Caenorhabditis elegans: one gene and its partners. The protein of the gene in region 2 interacts with the protein of the main gene of each other region in a pairwise test. Each region holds a gene or a part of one and is shown on either strand. Other genes may lie near its edges. The genes, in order: lys-1, C18B2.4, cth-2 and lys-8.

Region 1 (4,387 bases), on a different chromosome or scaffold from region 2:
GTGAATTTTTAGCGGCAAAACTCCAGAACCAAGCTCACGGCGGGCTCTCAAAGATCTTAAAATAGCACTGTAAGGAAGAACTTTAACGATCTAACGAAGCAATTTTCGAATTTCACTTTGGTAGCTCATATCTCCGTAGATAAATTTTTTACAGAAAAGTCATCAACTAAAAAGTTGTTGATATTGTTGTAAAGAACAAGTTTGTAGTTGAAAGTTTTTTACCAAAAAATTTTTGTTTGCGAGAAAATCATTAGAAACGGAATAGCAGCATAAAAATAACAACACCAGTTGCCGCACTTCACGCACTTTTATCTCAAACAAAAATTTTGTGGTAAAAAACTTTTAATTACAAACTTGTTTGTTACAACAAAATCAACAACTTATCAGTTGATGACTTTTCTGTAAAAAATTTATCTACGGAGATATGAGCTACCAAAGTGAAATTGGAAAATTGCTTCGTTAGATCGTTAAAGTTCTTCCTTACAGTGCTATTTTAAGATCTTTGAGAGCCCGCCGTGAGCTTGGTTCGGGAGTTTTGCCGCTAAAAATTCACGAGTAACTGTTTTAAGACATGGGCTATCGAATGGCATAGGTCTCATATGCAAGTCCGATGGGCACCTTCTGACCGTTCCCTAGTGAGGGACAGGAAATCACTGCCAATTAGCATTTATGCCACGGCTATTTTAACTTTTTAAATGTTTACTTTTCAAAATTATATTTATAGAAACGATTTCCACAAAAATCTTCAGAAATAAAGTGAAATCGTCATGCGAAAAGACACAATTAAAATTTTACTGATCATTCATTTTAATTTCTGGTATATATCTGGTATGTTATATGGTATATTTCAGTATTTTTTAAAATAAAATTTTAATAAAGCTAGGATTGTTTATTGAAATAATACAAATAGGTAAGAGATCACAACATAAATATTTTAGACTCCAATGACTCCTCCAACAACAATCTTTTTGTTGTTGCTGCTGATGTCCTCTTGAGTGAAAAAATCAGTGTTTTTCGATGAAGCAGCAGCTGGGATTCCAACAACGTAAACATCACGATTGACGGTCAAAGAGCAGACAGACTCAACTTGAGCAAATTGCTTAACAGAAGCCTTCTTGAAAGATCCGAATGCACGGAAGTCATCGAAAGTAGCTGGAGTCTCTCCAGTAACACCACCTCCAAGAACATGCCAATACCAGAGAAGAACATCAGAGCTCAAAGTTGCCCAGTTTCCAGTAATTTGGCTCCAGTCGTATTGGTTGGTGTAGATTCCGACAGTCAGTCCGTATTGCTTGGCTCGTGAAATAATGCTGTTGAGGAAGTTCACATTAGTAGTTGCAGACTTCTGCCAGTTGGCTGGGGAGGTAACCTGAAAGAGTTCAAGTGTATAGACTATAATCGTCGAGAATTAAATTTCTTATCAGTTGAAAATTGAAAAATAATCTCCGGAAAGAAGATTTTAATGTTTAAGTGTACATTGTTTCCAGTTTTTCACATATGACATTTTAACTAATTTAACTTTTAATTGTTCAAGGTTTTTTATATTTCTTGTATATAGCTAACCTGAATCCAGACAGATCTGATGGTGATTCCATTTCCGTTAAGTCCGTTATAAAGAGCATCAAGTTGTTGGTATCCTTGAAGAGAAGAAAGTGGTTGTGGAGTCATGTAGACCTCAATTCCCAATCCAGCAGAATAAGCATTTCTGATAGAAGTGACTGAAGTTGTGTCGAATGCTCCAGATCCAAATGGAGTGAAACCTCTGATGAAAACAGCTGCATATCTGGATGTCTTGAGGCAGTTCATTTGAGAAACTGTTGTTGGAACAGAAATATCAACTGCGTAGGCATATGAAGCATCATTGTTCACAACTTCCGGAGCTGGCTCGGCCTTGATCTTCTCGAAACCAATATCAGTCACTTCGAAGTTGTCCTGTGGAAGAGCTACAACTCTATTAGAGTCGACATCTTGTGGTCTAGCAGAAGCCAAAGCAAAAAGGAAAGTAACGAAAGCAAGCTTGAGCATGGTTCTGAAACAAAAAACAGAAAATAATATTGACTTGAAGAAAAGTGCCAACGAAAAGGTTGAGAGAATGAAAATCTAATGATTCGGTGATGGATGGCGGCTCGTTTAAGTAGAAGAAAACGTCCAGTGATAAGGGTAATCAGTGGAGATAGAAAAGTGACGAGTAGGGTGAAAGAGATTCATTCGGGGGCGTTAGTAATATTAAATGTCAAGACTATATTAATTGGAAACTGGAAAGTTGATGATAAAATTAAGTACTCTTTTTAAATAATTTCTACCAAAATTAGTTATGCGATTAGTCAAAAAAAGAAGCATTCTTCATTTAAAACAAAATTTCTTTCCGCGACCAATTTGGGCAGGGAATTTTAAAGCGGTTGGAACTGAAGGTTTCTGATAAAATACTTCTACAAATGTGAATATGACTCATGCGATTCTGTCAATAGAATACTAGCACGCTATGACATATATCACTAGTCGCTAACGGCTATTGCTGATAGTTTCTTAGATGAGTCACTAAATTTATTTACATCCCACTTTTCACATGTTATTCTGTTGGTTTTGACGAACATTCTATCATGAGTTGACGAAGAACTACATATTTTCAATACATGGTCAGACAACGTTAGCCATATTGCCGACAATTTGAGAATCAAAGGTTGATTTATATTTGAAGTTTAGATTTATCTTTTCATGATATTCCGAATAAAAAACAACGATAGATCTTTGTGTTTTATTTATTAGATATTCTCATTTTCTTTCTTTTACTTCATGGAAATATCATTTCCAGGCTGGCTGCTTCATCTTTAATGTCGGTTTCGGATTAACGTCTAGCAATCTACGAAGAGGATCTTTCACTTCCAAATATCAAAACCCATGTGACAACTTCAACAATTGCCCAATTTTTCCACATTCCAAATTCATTGTCCATTTTTTTCCGTTTCAATAAAATATTTGGTCACCCTTGTGCTCTTCACCATCCATATTCCTTCATTGTCACAATTCGAAAAGCTCCAAAAATTCGAAAACGAAGAGTAGAAGGATGTGGTCGCCTCTCGACAACAATTGACGGACTCTTCCCGTTTGCCACTTCACCAAACTTTCCTTTTTTCTATTCTTTTCTTCGTTTTTTTTCCTTTTCTCCGCTTATTTTCTGGAACCGACATCTCGTCAGTTATGCTCCGGTGCCTGGCCAATCACAAGACAAACCCAGAAAAAATAGAAGCTCGTTCGCATCCAAATGAGTTTTCCTGCGAAGAAAATTAAAAGAAGAAAAACGTAAGGTGGCCTGTTAGGGTTAAAATAGCTGAGCGGAGGGAATTCCTAGATAAAAAAGAAGAAAACGTAATTCACTTGAATATTTATCGGTGACTATCTTGAGGTTTCTAGTTAGAAATGAAGATCAAGAATCAGAGATTTTCGGTACCTTACTTTTCCCAGTTTTAGGAATAATGAAGATCTTTTTAACTGGATCAGCAATTTTTTATAGATGTTTTATAAATTACAGAAGACAAAGCAAATATTGGCATTAAAAAACAAATAAACTGCTATAAAAACATTGCACAACATTAAACCCTTTCAAATACACCTCTCAACAGAAAATAATCAAAAAATACTGAGATCAAACATTCATTCGCTTTCCTAGGATTTTGTGCTCTCAAAATGAAAATCCAGCTGCATTCTCAAAACTCGAAAATATATGAATTGCACTTACTAGGCAGATGGATTTGGTGAGAGTTTCAATAATCGATCTTTTACAAATGATAACGTGCATATATTTTTGAAATCAGTATTATAGCCTTCAGAATGCGCAAAAAACCTATAAAGGTTCACATTGAAGGTGACCATGCCGGTTCGAGGCGAGATTAAGTGACTTTTGTGACTTTTATACGCTCAAAATTCTAGTATTGTAGGTCGCTTCAGAAAATGTATGCCCTTTCGTAACAATTAAAACCTAATGAACTGTACATCTCTTTTCTTAACCCATGTCCACCTATTTTGCTCTGTTGGTATGTCATCAACGATGCGAAAAAACGCATTCATAATAACGAGCGGTCGACATCCGGCGCAGAGCACTCGTGTATTATTTCCGGGGCATTCGTCCGTTTTTGTCCGTTGCTCTCTTTCTTCTTCGTCTTCTTTTTTCTTCTTCCACGAAAACTCTTCTCAGCATCGCCTTTTCTCTGTGTTTTATGTGTCCGATGGTTTCCCGTCCCGTTTTTTACGAGTTCTCCTTTTCCTTCTTTCTTTCCATTGATCGTCCCATTCGTCTTTTACTTTTTTGTTGCTCTTCTTATTTTTTGTTCTGAAAAGAATCCGCAAATGTCTTCTCCATGAGTATGCACAGAGAACGTCTGAAAATGTA
Region 2 (4,482 bases):
TTTCTTGTAGGCACCGCATAAATTAAGAAATCCATAGAGTCATTGAATTTTGAAGAAAAATATAATTCGGTTTTTTATCCTCAGTCAGTTGAAAATGTATTTTGCAGTTTCTAGAAAATTAAAAATAAAGCTTGATGGCAATATTCATTCAATAGGAGTATTGAAAAACATGCTTTAAGTGAATTACAAATTAATATTTCTTTTTCATTAATTTGATTAGTTTTGGCGATACATATTTGTCTTTTGTATTATTCAAAAATTGATTACTGGCTGAACTAAAAATATGTATTATCCAGTTTTCTAGAGTTTTGTATATACTCATTTATTTCTTACTCACACTTGAGCCTAGATATAATCTTTTAAAACTCAATTTAAAAAAAAACCAAAATTCGGGTTTATTAAAAGCCTCACAACTGGATACTCACTCTGCACAAGTATTATTTTTTAATAAAATGAAGTGCAATCTATTTTAGTACTGGCTTTCACCAGCTACTTGGGCTTCCCGTCGCGAGAAGGAGCTCAACCTCTCGTCATCTCTCAGCCGTGGAAACTACTCTTACTCTAGCCGATTTGACAGGTACTGAGGTTTTAGTTTTTGGTAAATTAATTATTCTTAATTCAGACTTGGAGGACGCGTTTATTAAATTTTCTAAAACCTTCTGATCCATTTCATCGACTTCAACATTTTTCCATCGCGATTCAACATTCACGATATGTTCTTTCTACACGACTTCTTGACGCCGTTTTCGCATTTTGTTTGGTGTTTAACAAAGTGCGATGAGCAGCTCGGTTCAGTTATTCTTTTTTTTCTTGTTTTATACTTTAATTGATATTCCAATAAAATCAAAATAATTACATTCATTCAGTAAATTAAACATCACCGTTGTATATAAACATGCGGGGAGACGGACAAAGCGAGGACGGGAATCATTGGATTGAAGAGTCGAAAAGCCACGAACTTTTGAAAAATACAAGCTCATAAGCTTTAAGCGGATAAATTAAAACTTTACAACGGTCCATTTTTGGATGGAAGTGGTGGAGCTTCTTGGTAAGCATTGTAGGCTGGTGGCTGAGCGCTAGATTGTTGTTGAATATTGTTATAATCTGGAAGAGTAGAAGGATGAGGAGCAGCTCCTTGTCCGACGTTGAATCCTCCCTGCGGTGGTTGATTAGTTGGATAAGGATGGTATTGTCCTGGCTGTTGAGGTTGTCCAGGGTACGCCCCAACATTCTGGTACTGGACGGTTCCGACTGGCTGGAATTGTCCGGCAGGATACGGCGTGGTTTGTCCGATTCCTGGGTATGGTGGAGGCATGTCGTAAACGTAGACGTTTTGTGCTGGAAAACAATTTGTTTCGAAGAAATTACTACGTCATAAATCTTACCAGGTGGGCGCTCAGGAAAAACGTTCGTCGGAGCTTGGAATCCTTGGTATGTCCCTTGCACCAAGTAGTATGTCGGTGGAGCAGCATAGTACGTAGTGCCTGATTGCTGTTGCATATTTCCACCATATGCTGGTGGAGCAGCAAATGGACGAGCTCTAGATGCTGAAACAGAACCAAAACATTGATGGGAACTATTCAAGACAATCGTACCCATGTCAGCAGCGCGAAGAAGTGCCTCTCCAAACTCGATGCATCCTCCTTTCGGGAAAGACAAACGCCATTCCGGACATCCATCAAAGTTGCCTCCAGGCATTGGTTGAACCCATCCCTGAAAAATTAAAAATGTGACTGCAAGTCATTTAAGATTGAAAAAAAAACCTTGAGATAGTTTGGGGTGAGAAGTGGCTGTTCAAGTTTCACATCTCGCACTGAATTGAATGGCATCGCGAAGGATTTGAACTCATCTTTCTTGCTCTCGTTCATGAAAATTATCTGAAAAAATAAAGTTGAAATATTTGAAATTTAGGATCAAACGTTTTGGTTTTCAGCTAAAATGAAAAAAAAAACCTATCCAGAAATGAAAATTTGCAACTCAAAAACTTTAAAACTCACTCTGTGTGAAGTGAGATAGAGGGCTCCCGACTTGGTGGACTTGAACGCAGGAACATTGTACTTCTCGAACTTCAGCTTTACATTTGTTGTGTAGAGAAGAATCCTGAAATTATAAAAACTTATTTCATAATTTGAAAAGAATCAGTTTTGAGAAAGAATTTAAAAAACTTACATTTCTCCATTATAAATCAAAATGCCTTGGCCATCGGGTGTGTGCGACGTGTTGAGCGACATGGTGCTGCTGAAGAACAAAAAAAAATCAAAAATACTGCTTTTTAAGGAGGAAAATGGAATTAATGAGCAGATCGGGAATTGCGAAATACACGAAATCGACGAAAAACGGCATGGAATGGCGTGATGGCAACGTTTTCATACGGCGAGGGTAGCCAACACTGACTCACGACCCCGAGACCCGCAATGGAGCGCGTTTTCCATTGCCTTGTTTTCTGCGTCTCTCACAAGTCATGGCTCTCTAGTGAGTGGTGAGTGGCGAAAGACAAATAGTGTTTGCCATTAGATAGAGAGGGGAGTATCGATGCCATTAATCATGAATATGAAGGTTTATTATTATAAGGGCAGAATTGCCGGGAAATAAAGGTAATTAGGCAACGAGCTACTTTTGGAAAATTTTGAGTCGATTTTGGTCGTGTATTTAAACATTTCTGGAAAAAAAACAAGTAGTTGTATTAATTTGTTGAACAATTTGTGGTGAAAGTTAAAATAAATAAATAAGAGAACATTTATTATGTTAATTTGAAAGACTCTTAAAAATTTGGTGAATTCATTTGAAACTTTTCTGGTTTTTAAAGTAGATGTACTCCAAAGTATTCAAATGTTTCTTTTTTGTTTCTGTATAGTTCAACACATTATTATCCGGCCTAAGCTCCAAAAAGTTCGAATGTTATGTTCACAATTTTAATTCACTTTAAAATGAGTATCATCATTTGCTTTGAATTTTAAGGAACTTTTGAAAGTGATAGTATCTATCAATCTAGGCTTTCTCTGTACACTTTGAAAATTAAAATTTCCTGAAATTCGTTTTATACACTAGGTAATCATATTTGTAAAACTTGACACTTGTAATAGCGTTCCTCTTAACTGATATGTCGAAATTTCTAGAATTTCCTATAATATTATTTGTATTTTTGATTTAAATATCAATGAACAATATTATTCTGCCAAAAATTATATTAGTTCCTTAGCGAAAAGAAATGAAGCTGAAAAACAAAAAAAACGATTGATAGGGAATGTTTATCGAGTCGCGTTGGATAAAAATGTTAAGTCGAACAATAAATACAAAATGAGTGGATCGGAGATTAAATTGAAACCATTGAATCAGAAAACACAAATAATAATACTAATAATAATAAATTGTTTTTTAATACAACACTTTATCAGCAAACACTGGAGCTTGTTCGACTTTTTGTCCCTTGTTGTGTCGGAGGATGGCAACTAGTGGGTGGACAGTTTCTTGCAAATCCTGAAGTGAAAGATTTAATAAGGTAGTTTCAGAAGCATAGATAATAAGCTGACCTATCAAAACCGCAAAAATTAATATCATCTCTCACATTCGAACATTATTAATACAATTTTGAAAAGTGAGTTAATATGAGTTAAAAACTTGATATGAAAAAAGCTTAGAACTAAACCGAAAACAAAAATATATAAATATGTTTAAAAAAATTATTTAAATGTTCATAAGCACATTTGAAAAATTTTATGTCATAATTACTATAAAAACCGGAATAGTTTTCATGGAAAGTTTTCTATTTTGAATATTTGAAAGCCTTCCCATACATATGAAATAAATTAAAATTATGCTGAAGTTGGAGTTCAAAATATGTTAAAGTTTCATCAGATACAGTTTTTTCTGCATACGTTTTTCAATATAAGTTTGAATTGAATTTGATCCCGGACGGGTTGAAAAATAATCTTGAGACGCCTCAATTTATACTTATGTTCTTTGCTTTCATGTGATGATTTTTGAAAGATGATTTTTGAAAGCCAAAATTACTTTTCAAATAAAGTGTACTATTTTCAGTTATTTTCAACTAAACCGAGTTAAATACGCAGACTGAGACACCTAGTATTTTCAGTTTTAAATTTCACTTCCCCAACCCATAATATTTACTCTGAAAAGATTCTCCAACGAAGCTGTTCCGTGTGTCCAGTAGAGATTATGTTGAAGTTTGGAAATTCCTGTTGGGAGTGGTGCGAATCCCGAGTTGTTAACTTTGTAGTATTCAAGGAAAGAAATGTTGGCCTGTGTGAGACTTTTGATGGCAATTGGCTGTGGGAGAACTTCAGAGTTGGTGATAATCGGCAGAACGTTTGTTTTCAAATCGTCTCCGAACATTCTCTTAACATCAGCCAACTCATAAATGAACGGCCATCCCAGTTGATTCTCGTCGTGTCTCAAAACAATTGAGATTGCATCAAGACGGAAGGATCCAGATTTGAGAAGCTCCTAAAACGTGAAATTTAG
Region 3 (5,129 bases), on a different chromosome or scaffold from region 2:
GACCTCTTGATGGGAGGACGCCCAGAACGAACTTCATATCCGCCTAAATACTTGTGTCGTCCTTCACTTGAAATGATCGAAGATAAGCTCAAAAAATGGTTCGGTCTGAGATTCTGTGAAGAAAATGAATCGTATCCAAGCGAGTTTAATAGTGTCACCGATTACGAACTTCCCGAGTATATCATGGCTGAAGTGCGCGAGGTAATTTTGAAACAATAGATATTGCTTATTTTTGTTCATAGCTTTCAGATAAGAGAGCAGAAAGAGAAAGAAACACAGACAACGGGATCGTCGAGTCGGAAAAGAAGAGTACCATCCCCAGAAGATTGACAGAAGAAGATGAAAATTATGACATTCAAACTTAAATGATCTCTCTATGATTCCTTCTACGCTATCTAATTATAATTCAATGTGTACCTTTCTTTCATATACCAATTGCAAAATATCATGTTATGTATTCCAATTTCTGTTTCGAATAACAATTATCATTTTTCATAGAAAAAATTTATTGGATAGTGTAAGACACAATTTGAGTCGATTAGTTAGAGGTTGTGGTGGAGACGAGTGGGCAATTAAAACTAGTACCGGCTTTCAGATTTGAAACAAATGCATATCATAAAATGATTGAAAAGTTATACTTTTGGAATGGCAATCTTCAAAGCTTGATCCAAATCAGCAACCAAATCATCGAGATCTTCAATTCCAACAGAGATACGGATAAGGTTATCAGTGATTCCAAGAACAATTCGAGTTTCAGCAGGCACTGAAGCATGAGTCATGATAGATGGAAGCTCGGCAAGTGATTCATATCCTCCAAGAGATTCAGCCAAAGTGAATACTTTGAGAGCAGAAAGGAAAGCACGACTCTCTTGAAGTTCTCCTTTAAGATAGAATGAGATCATTCCAGACATTCCCTTTGTTTGTTTCTCATGAACTTCATGTTGTGGATGAGATGGAAGAGCTGGATAGAGAACTGATTCGATACGATCATTGGCTTCAAGGTATTTGGCAACAGCAAGAGCATTTTCATAGTGAGCTCTCATTCTGATGTGAAGAGTTTTGAGTCCACGATTAACAAGGAAGCAATCAAATGGAGATGGGACTGCTCCGACGGCTGAAAATAATAGCATTAAAATTTTGAGTTAACGATTAATTTAGCTATCCAATGAGATTTTAAACAGTTTTATAATTTTGCGACATTTGACTCAAGGTACATGTTCTCGATATGAGCGAAACTTTGCTTCTACAGTACCCACAAGTATTTAGCAATTTTTTTTATAGTTCCAATGTATTTTATATGATTTCTAAAGCAGAGAAACTGATTTCTTTTCTAGAAAAACACGAAGAAATTAATATTGAAATTCAGTGAAAACCGTTAAGAAAAAATTCGAAGCACTTGCGAATACAGTAGCTGCCAAGTTTCACTAGCTTCAAGACCGGTTACCGTATCTATGCCTCAAAATGACAAAATTATACGACTAGATTTCACTGCGTACAACAGCACAGTAAACTAACCAAGTTGCATGAAGAAAAGATGTTGTTGGAACTCGTCATTATCAGTGATAACAGCACCCATAACAACATCAGAATGTCCATTAATATACTTGGTAATTGAATGAACGACAACATCCGCTCCAAGAGAAATTGGGCGTTGGAAGTATGGAGACATGAAGGTATTATCAACAACTACAACAATTTCTGGATTGGCTTTCTTTGCAGTTTGGACCACTGCGGCAATATCAACAACCTTCAAAAGTGGGTTAGATGGAGATTCAAACCAAACCATCTTGGTATTTGGTTTGATTGCTTTCTCGAGATTCTGAACATCCGTCAAATCAACCGAATCGACTTCCAATCCGTGATTAGGAACAGCAACACGGCGGATATATCTTTGAGTACCTCCGTAGACATCATCAGAGCACACAATATGATCTCCGTACTTGAGAAGATTGATGATTGCGGAAGTTGCGGCAAGTCCTGAAGAGAACACTTGGCAGTGTTTTGCGTCTTCGAGAGCAGCCAGATTCTTTTGAAGAACATCACGAGTTGGGTTTCCAGCACGAGAATAATCGTGTCCCTTTGGCTCTCCTGGATTATCCTGTTTGTAGGTCGAGGACAAGCTGATTGGCGGGACCACCTGAAAAGTATCAGTTCAGTATTTATATTCAGAATACCTATGACAAACCTGATTCATATCCCATTGCTCTGGTTCTTGTCCAACGTGGATAGCAGCAGTTCCGAAGTGTGGGAAAGTAGCCATTTTAATCTTGAGACAGGCTGCAATAAGAAGACTGATGTCGAGAAATGATAATCAAATGGATTTATAAGTGTGAGAGAAAGAGGAGAGAAAAGAAAAAAGAACGAATGAAAGGGGCGGGGTCAAACGAAGGGTCGGTCGACACGCCGAAAGTTTCAATGAAATCGTTAAAGAAAAAAACGTTCTTGACATTGGTCAAAAAGACGTTAATCTTCTATTATTTTTAGATTTTACAGAATGTAGCTGATTAGGCAAACAAGATGTTAAAAACGGAAGAAAAGAAGAAAAATAAATAGTGATGTGCAAAGAAGGAATGAACAATGTTTGATACTATTGAATGATGTACACATCTGGAATAAACACTCTTATCAAATCTCCAAACGAGACCATTTTGCAGAAAAAACCGGATATGAGAAGAAGCGTGGGAAATTGAGAAATTTGAAAAATAAAAGATAAGATTAACGACTGATAGGTGGCGTATTTTTCATACTTCAAAAAATAATATGTATTTGGCACAAGTTTGGTAATAAATTTGACATTTCTGGGGATTCTGTGGTGTTTTTATATGTTGGTTAAAAACAATTTTTATTGCTCAAATATGGTTTTTTCGTGAACAGCTGAATATTTGTAAATTCTATAGTATTTTTTGAAAAGTTCGGAATTTGAATTGTATAATGTCAAGTCACATTCTACGAACCAGAATCTTAATTTTTAACATGAATTGGCCTAATACTAGTAATAGAAACATTTTAATAGAAACAGAGGTTTCTACAAAAATACATTAATCCTACAGTACCCCGACCCTATCCCTCCCTACTAATATTTGTTTTTATAGTAAAAACTTAAAAATCGTGGAAAATGTTATTTTGATCGACTTCCAAAAGGATAGAAGAGAACTAACTTAAGTAATTACAACGTTGTATAAATAATAGAAATTTCCGAAAACATTTAAGGATGTATAAAAATTTCTATATTTTAGCACCATAAGATGAGTTTTTTTGAAAATCTCCACTGGCTCTGCATACAAACTACAGTAGGCCAACAGTATCATGACAATGTATCAGCTCAAGTTCACAAAGAGTTCTTGCTGCAATTATTTTTTTTTACAAACTATGAAAGTCAGTAATCATAAATGTATTTACTAATGACGATCTTGAAACAAAAGATAACACAGTTTGACGTGACTTACTATTAGAGTTTCCAAAGTCTTGAAGGAATTTTAAATTAACTGAAATCACGTAATTGTGCAGTTTGAACACTATCTTAATGTTTATTTTGTTCCTTCGTTTAGTTGATATAATATTTATCACATGTTACAGTTTTTTTTTTCAAAAAGTTCAAATTCCAGTGCCAATCACCCCACGTGGAGGTCTACCATGTGGTATTTTGTTTGAGAAACATGTCGATGAAATCAAATCCTCAAAGCATCGATTTCTCTATGTCTCGTATCATTTTTTCGTTATCAAAAAGAGAGAAGAATTTGTCTCATTCTCTCGTTGTGTCTACTGCAAACCAGCCACATGTGTGTCTCGAGCAGTTGGACAAAGGGCACCAGAAGGAGAGAGTTCAAGTTCAAAATATCATTTGGAAGAGGCAGATAGGGATTGAATACATAGAAATGATGATAATTGTGACGTGTTTTTTAATTGGCAACCTTGGCGTGGAAAAGATAAGATTTGAGACGACATTTCATTTGCAGGAAGTCTTGAATTTGGAGGAGGAGGAAAAAGAAAGCGAAAGTTTCAATTTATTGATCAATTGCATTTTCTTCTAGATTTAGAAATAGGTAGAGTTGCTACCAGTAGGTTTACATTTTATTGCTTGTGATCAGAAAGCAGGTTTTACCAATTTGCTACTTGAATGAAAAATTAATTTTTTAAATGTATAAGTACCCATAATTTTAGATTAACTAGATTAACTAACTAGATTAATAATTTTCACCAAAGGTGTAAAAATGTGGAGTTGTTGCCGAATTTGCCAAAACATTCACTGAAGGATCTAATAAACCTCAAATAAATAATTATTTTGAAAGCTATTTTCAATTCTATCAGAACATTCTGAAGGTGACCTCGTATTCTTAAACCAACCGGAACTTGGCTGAAAATCGAAAATTTAAAATGTTTCATGTCTATACTGTCGTAAAAATTAAGCCCACCTTTTAATTTTAATAATAATAAGCAATTTATGTATTCTGGATACTAGAAAAAGTAGACAAAAAATGATTTTTTAAAGGTCTGTGAACATACTTACTTATATCATATTAAGAAGTAGAACAGCAAAAGATTATTGAAGTTTGATTCTCCGTTTTTTTCATTAAGTATGTCAACAATTGATAAGAGTTCAGTGACACATACGTCACTATCTCAAAAACATTTGTCAGCAGAAATTCAAATTTAATTTCAATTTCAAGATAACAAACCAACCTCGCCATGTGCTACTCACTTGATAAAATTATAAAATTTTTACGATTTGAAAATTAAATAGACATAGAGAGGAAAAAGGTCAGAATGGCATGTCTAGTGAATGCTCCTGCGCAAATTTATATGGACGCTGCTTTGCGTCCGCTCACCTCCCGCCCCTCAATCTGAGCGGCACGCGGCAGACAGTTGCATCAGCCGTTTGGAAGGAATGGAGAATGTTGATAGATGTGAAGAGTTAGAGATCATAATGATTGAGAGATGAAGAGAAATGATATACTTTACAAAAAACTACTGGTCGGATGGATGGGGACTTTTGAAAGTTGAAGAGCTCTTTGAAAAATAGAAAACTGAAAAAGAAAATTGATATTTGACAATTTCAAGTTCAGAATGCAGAGGACATTTAAAATTCCTAGAATTTTTGAAAATATCAGTGTAATTTTCTATTTTCAGCT
Region 4 (4,575 bases), on a different chromosome or scaffold from region 2:
GGAGGATAAGCTTATTCATTCAGCTTACATGTTTGTTCTAAACCATCCAGAAGCCGGGGTGAGTTGTTTAGAAAATTGATTCTAGTGAAAAATATGAAAATATTACAGGCTGTGACCGGTCCAATAATAAAAGAAGAGGATATTCCATTTGAAGAGACTGTCGAGTGTTCATCCACGACTGCTGTGAATGGAATTTTACCTAAATGTTTCCGACAGCCGAGAAAACAGAAACTTGAAGAAGATTCGTGTTCATCTTCAATTCTTCGAATTATCAAGAAAACCACACCCAGTCTTCCAAATAGATCATATACAATGATTAACCAAAACATGGAACATCCACTACAATGCTGCTACTGCTTGGAAGTGTACGAAAAGCGATACATGACGCAAGTTCCAAAAACCGAGCAACGAATTGCCAGATGGGTGGCAATATTAGGAGAACAATTCCGTATACGTCTTCGAATGAAACCTGCAAATTACATGTGTCGAAAACATTTCCCGCAAGCGGATTTCAGTTCTCGTGGACGACTTCTTAAAACAGCTGTTCCAAATGTTGTTTCCCAGGAGAAAGTACTGGCATTCAAGCTTGAAGGAAACACGTTCGTTGAAGTCAAAGAAGACAATACGAATATCAAAATGGAAAAGGGAACGGACTCGGAAATAGATATAGAAAATTAGAGCCAAGCTCGCATTGTTTTGTTGTTATTTGTTTTTAGATTCTCGTGTTTTGTTTTTTTGTAATAAACTTTATTTTCAGATTTTCATAACATATTGGGGGTACAGTTAGATACAAAATATAAGTAGTCAAATTCCACTTATTTTCGGAACTGATAAAATCTATTGACTTCCTTGAATGAATCCTCCAGCGTAGATCTTTCCATCCTCTTCAACAGCGTCAGCGGCCTTGAGCATAGTTCCAGCAGCATAAACATCTCTGTTGACAGTGAACTGGCAAACTTGCTCAACTTGAGCGAATTGTTTGACAGATGGAGTAGTCCAGCATCCGAACGCGCGGAAATCAGCAAAACTGGCCGGGGTCTCTCCATTGACACCACCTCCAAGGACATTCCAGTACCAGAGGAGAACATCATTTCCAATGCTGCTCCATCCGTTGGTGATCTGGTTCCAGTCGTAGTAGGAAGTGTAGATTCCGACAGTCATTCCATATTGCTGTAAATTATATGAATTTTGATATGAAATTTGTTGCAGAAGTATGAACTAATCGGTTCAGTTTAAAAACGTCTTAACCCAAAGGTCTTATCAGATTAATCAATGTTTTAGACTATAATACGAATCATTCGAGTTTTCGTATTTGAATGTATTTCAATTCCTTGAGCAAAAAATCAAGCTTCTACAGGAAACTTACTCTAGCTCTTGACACAATACTGTTGATAAAGTTGACATTGTTATTAGCATTGCTTGGCCAGTTGGTTGGAGAAGTGACCTGGATCCATACAGATCTGATTGTTATTCCTCTTGCAGTCAATCCTTGGTAGATCTCATCCAATTGTTGGTATCCTTGCTTGCTTGAAGCCGGCTGTGGAGTCATGTAGATCTCTGTTCCGAGTCCAGCGTTATACGCATTCTGAATAGTATTGCAGGAGTTGGTGTCGAAGGATCCTTGTCCAGCTGGGTTGTATGCACTGGAAATTCGATTTAATTGTTATGGAGTTTTAGAAAATGTTCATCAAATTATGAACGTTTGGAATCGAAAAATGAATTAATCAGAAACGAAAGCAGGCAAATGTTTGCCCAAGTTTGGCCAAAAATATTAAAAAGGTTCTGAAGTGACAATACATGACCAGAACTTGTTCTGGTTTAGCTCAAGTTTAATTCAACTGTTGACAATATCTTTACACTTGGGCCAACCTTGGGCAAAAAAAGATTCAACTTTTTTTTATAAATAACAATTTATAGATAGGTAAATCATAAAATCTTTTTCAATTCTTACCGGACAAAGACTGCCGAATAACCAGCTTGTTTGAGGCACTGAAGCTGGCTCAATGAAACTGGAACAGACAAATCAACAGCGAAAGCATATGAAGCCAAATTTGGTGGAACTCGTGGAGCAGCCTCAGCAATGACTTCTCTGAATTTGACTGGAAGAGATGAGTCAACGAATGGAAGGACCTTGACGGAGACTGAAGCCGAATGGCAAAGTACTGCCAGTACTGACAAAAGAGCCACTGATTTGAGAAGCATTCTAGAAAATGTTCAACTTGAATGAGTTAAGAGAAAATTATTAACAAAAAGAACAAAGAATAAGAAACCAAATTTTATAAAAATCAAATACTAAACCGAAATGTTGAAGAAACTGGAGTGGTTATCATGATTTATAGTCTTTATCAAAGAGCTGGCAAGTACCGCTTGTCCATCTGAATTTATAATTTCGGAAAACATTATCATGATATCACACTCTGTTATCAGTAACTGTGTACACACTTTTATGTCATTAATGTCGATGAAAAGAACATCACAAATTATGTGGAATACCGGTAATTGAGCGTGGGCGTTTTGATGATTTTTTCTAGGTTCAAATTCTCGTAAATGACAATTTGTTGTCTTTTATTAAATTGATAGTTCATAAGTGAACACAATTTTTTTCTGACTAACAGATAGTGGTAAGATTTTCAAAGCGATTATGCATATGTTTTACGTTCAACTTTGACCATAACAGCGAAGAAAATTGAAAGTTCTTGAAAACTAGAACTGTAAAATGTATGATATTCTCCTTCAGCACTATACCAATTCTTTTATACAAAAATCCCATTTGCAGCTGAATAAACATTCTCCTTCTTGTTCCATAATTTTTCCCATTTCACTATATTTTTACCGTTTAACATGTCTGTTTAAACTGTACTAACATCCAACGATAGCCCCTGTGAGCAATCCAATTGTTTAAAAATCATTAATCTATTTTTAATGTGAATTCAATTAGTCGAGATTTGTCTTTGGATGGAATAAAAACGAAGATGACGAGTTTAAGAAGTGATGTCATTTCCAGAGGAACAGAGAGTAAAGAATTCGAATTGTTGAAACAGCTGAAATTGTAGATCCATTTCGAGATCAATTTAGTATTTGATAATGAAAAGTGACGTGTCTGTCTATTCATTGAACAAATAACAAAAACGATAAATTTTAGTCCTGAAGCCAATTATTGGTATTTTCTAAAAACTTTGAAGATTTTTGATCCATTATTAATTTCAACTAATTCTTGGCCAAATTGTTGAATTCTTCAGTTAACGTATATTTACTTAACTTTAAAGTGGCTTCAATTATATCCAGGGACCTCTTTAGGCTCTCCTACCTACATTGGGTTTTCAGTATTTTAGTTTCCATCCGTACTTGCCTGCCACATGTCTACCTTCATGCCTGTCGTCGATGTTCTGTATTTCTTTCGTGATCCTACTGCCCGCCTGCCTGTCTATGTGCCTACCGCCTATTTCATTACTTTTAATATTATGCCACATTTTGATGTTCCAGATATCATATAGCTTGTTCTATATCCAATGTTCCTTTGAAAATTGAAAAATCAGAAATTCAATGATATCGTAAAAAAACGAATATATATTCTTTTTTAGCTTCTTCCTGTATTTACTTATGTTTTTTCCTTCTGAATACACACACATTTCTCTCTCACTTTATTATCATAAATCATCATAAAAAAATCATTGGTGACGTCAAAGTTTACATTTTTGGAGGTGCTGTGAAGAATTGTTGAAAGTCGAAGTTCTCGGTGTGATATGAAGACTTTGGAGGTTGTCGTTCAGCGATTTGATGCCAAGTGAAAGCGGATGTACGATGGAAAAACTGAAATGATAATTTGTGTAAATAAATAATATATTCAAAAAAAACTAACGCTCAACTCGACGAAAGCACTTTGAATTTCTCCGAGATGCAATATTTTGGCATTCACATACTTTTCCTTGATGAACTTCGAAATCGCTTGAGCACTTTCATCGCGAACACTTTGGGTTTCCGGCTTCTGTTGTTTGACAACCTTCAGCAGATCTCTCTTCATATCCACATACTGAAAAGTGAAACTTTATGGTTACATTTATGAAAAACTTCTGAAGAAACTAGAGCTTTGAATATTGATTCCTGATAACAAACCTTTGGATATTGACCGTAAAGAAACTTTTTGACTCTTTTGAGATGCTTGGGCCCTCGAGTCTGCAAGTTTCTTTCAGCTGATGCCAGAACGACCGCATTCTTTGCAATTGCATCGTTCATTGCTGGTTGCAACTTTGTGTCCGTTTTCCAGTTGTTTTGAGTCAACTGTACTTCCTTGTTCAGCTTCTCCGCTGCCGTTTGTCCTTTCTCGCTTACAATGTTCTAAAATATGTGTGGTTGAGCAAAGTAATTAAAGTAGAATGTATATTACTTCCATATCAACCGTCCCGTTTCCACGTCTCATCAGATTTACGAGTGTTGTGAAGATTTGTTCAAGAGCAATCTGAAATTTAGCAAGGTTTTATGAGTCTCATTGGAACACTTTTGTTTGAAAAACAAAAGTTAGAAAATAATGTGAAAGTAAATTCGCACTCAAACCTTGTATTCTTCCATCAAACGTGC

Evidence for each region.
Region 1: the proteins of C18B2.4 (region 2) and lys-1 interact in a two-hybrid assay, tested with the Caenorhabditis elegans proteins (one large-scale study listed by BioGRID).
Region 3: the proteins of C18B2.4 (region 2) and cth-2 interact in a two-hybrid assay, tested with the Caenorhabditis elegans proteins (one large-scale study listed by BioGRID).
Region 4: the proteins of C18B2.4 (region 2) and lys-8 interact in a two-hybrid assay, tested with the Caenorhabditis elegans proteins (one large-scale study listed by BioGRID).

Annotation. Positions count from the first base shown.
Region 1 is NC_003283.11:10,275,546-10,279,932, reverse strand, and holds lys-1 (Lysozyme-like protein 1), read right to left. Parts: upstream 2,030-4,387; 5' UTR 2,026-2,029; coding exon 1,564-2,025; intron 1,370-1,563; coding exon 935-1,369; 3' UTR 877-934; downstream 1-876. Other genes in the region: Y22F5A.11 (uncharacterized protein), read left to right, coding at 4,356-4,384.
Region 2 is NC_003284.9:3,603,504-3,607,985, forward strand, and holds C18B2.4 (GRAM domain-containing protein), read right to left. Parts: upstream 2,239-4,482; 5' UTR 2,232-2,238; coding exon 2,170-2,231; intron 2,101-2,169; coding exon 1,998-2,100; intron 1,878-1,997; coding exon 1,764-1,877; intron 1,714-1,763; coding exon 1,596-1,713; intron 1,548-1,595; coding exon 1,386-1,547; intron 1,339-1,385; coding exon 1,007-1,338; 3' UTR 788-1,006; downstream 1-787. Other genes in the region: C18B2.3 (uncharacterized protein), read left to right, coding at 474-577, 623-644; C18B2.5 (G domain-containing protein), read right to left, coding at 3,376-3,477, 4,129-4,464.
Region 3 is NC_003280.10:7,055,684-7,060,812, forward strand, and holds cth-2 (Putative cystathionine gamma-lyase 2), read right to left. Parts: upstream 2,278-5,129; 5' UTR 2,261-2,277; coding exon 2,186-2,260; intron 2,138-2,185; coding exon 1,516-2,137; intron 1,115-1,515; coding exon 633-1,114; 3' UTR 501-632; downstream 1-500. Other genes in the region: ZK1127.3 (EAF7 family protein), read left to right, coding at 1-201, 243-365.
Region 4 is NC_003280.10:5,583,806-5,588,380, reverse strand, and holds lys-8 (LYSozyme), read right to left. Parts: upstream 2,204-4,575; 5' UTR 2,203-2,203; coding exon 1,952-2,202; intron 1,644-1,951; coding exon 1,367-1,643; intron 1,171-1,366; coding exon 838-1,170; 3' UTR 730-837; downstream 1-729. Other genes in the region: C17G10.13 (THAP-type domain-containing protein), read left to right, coding at 1-58, 109-678.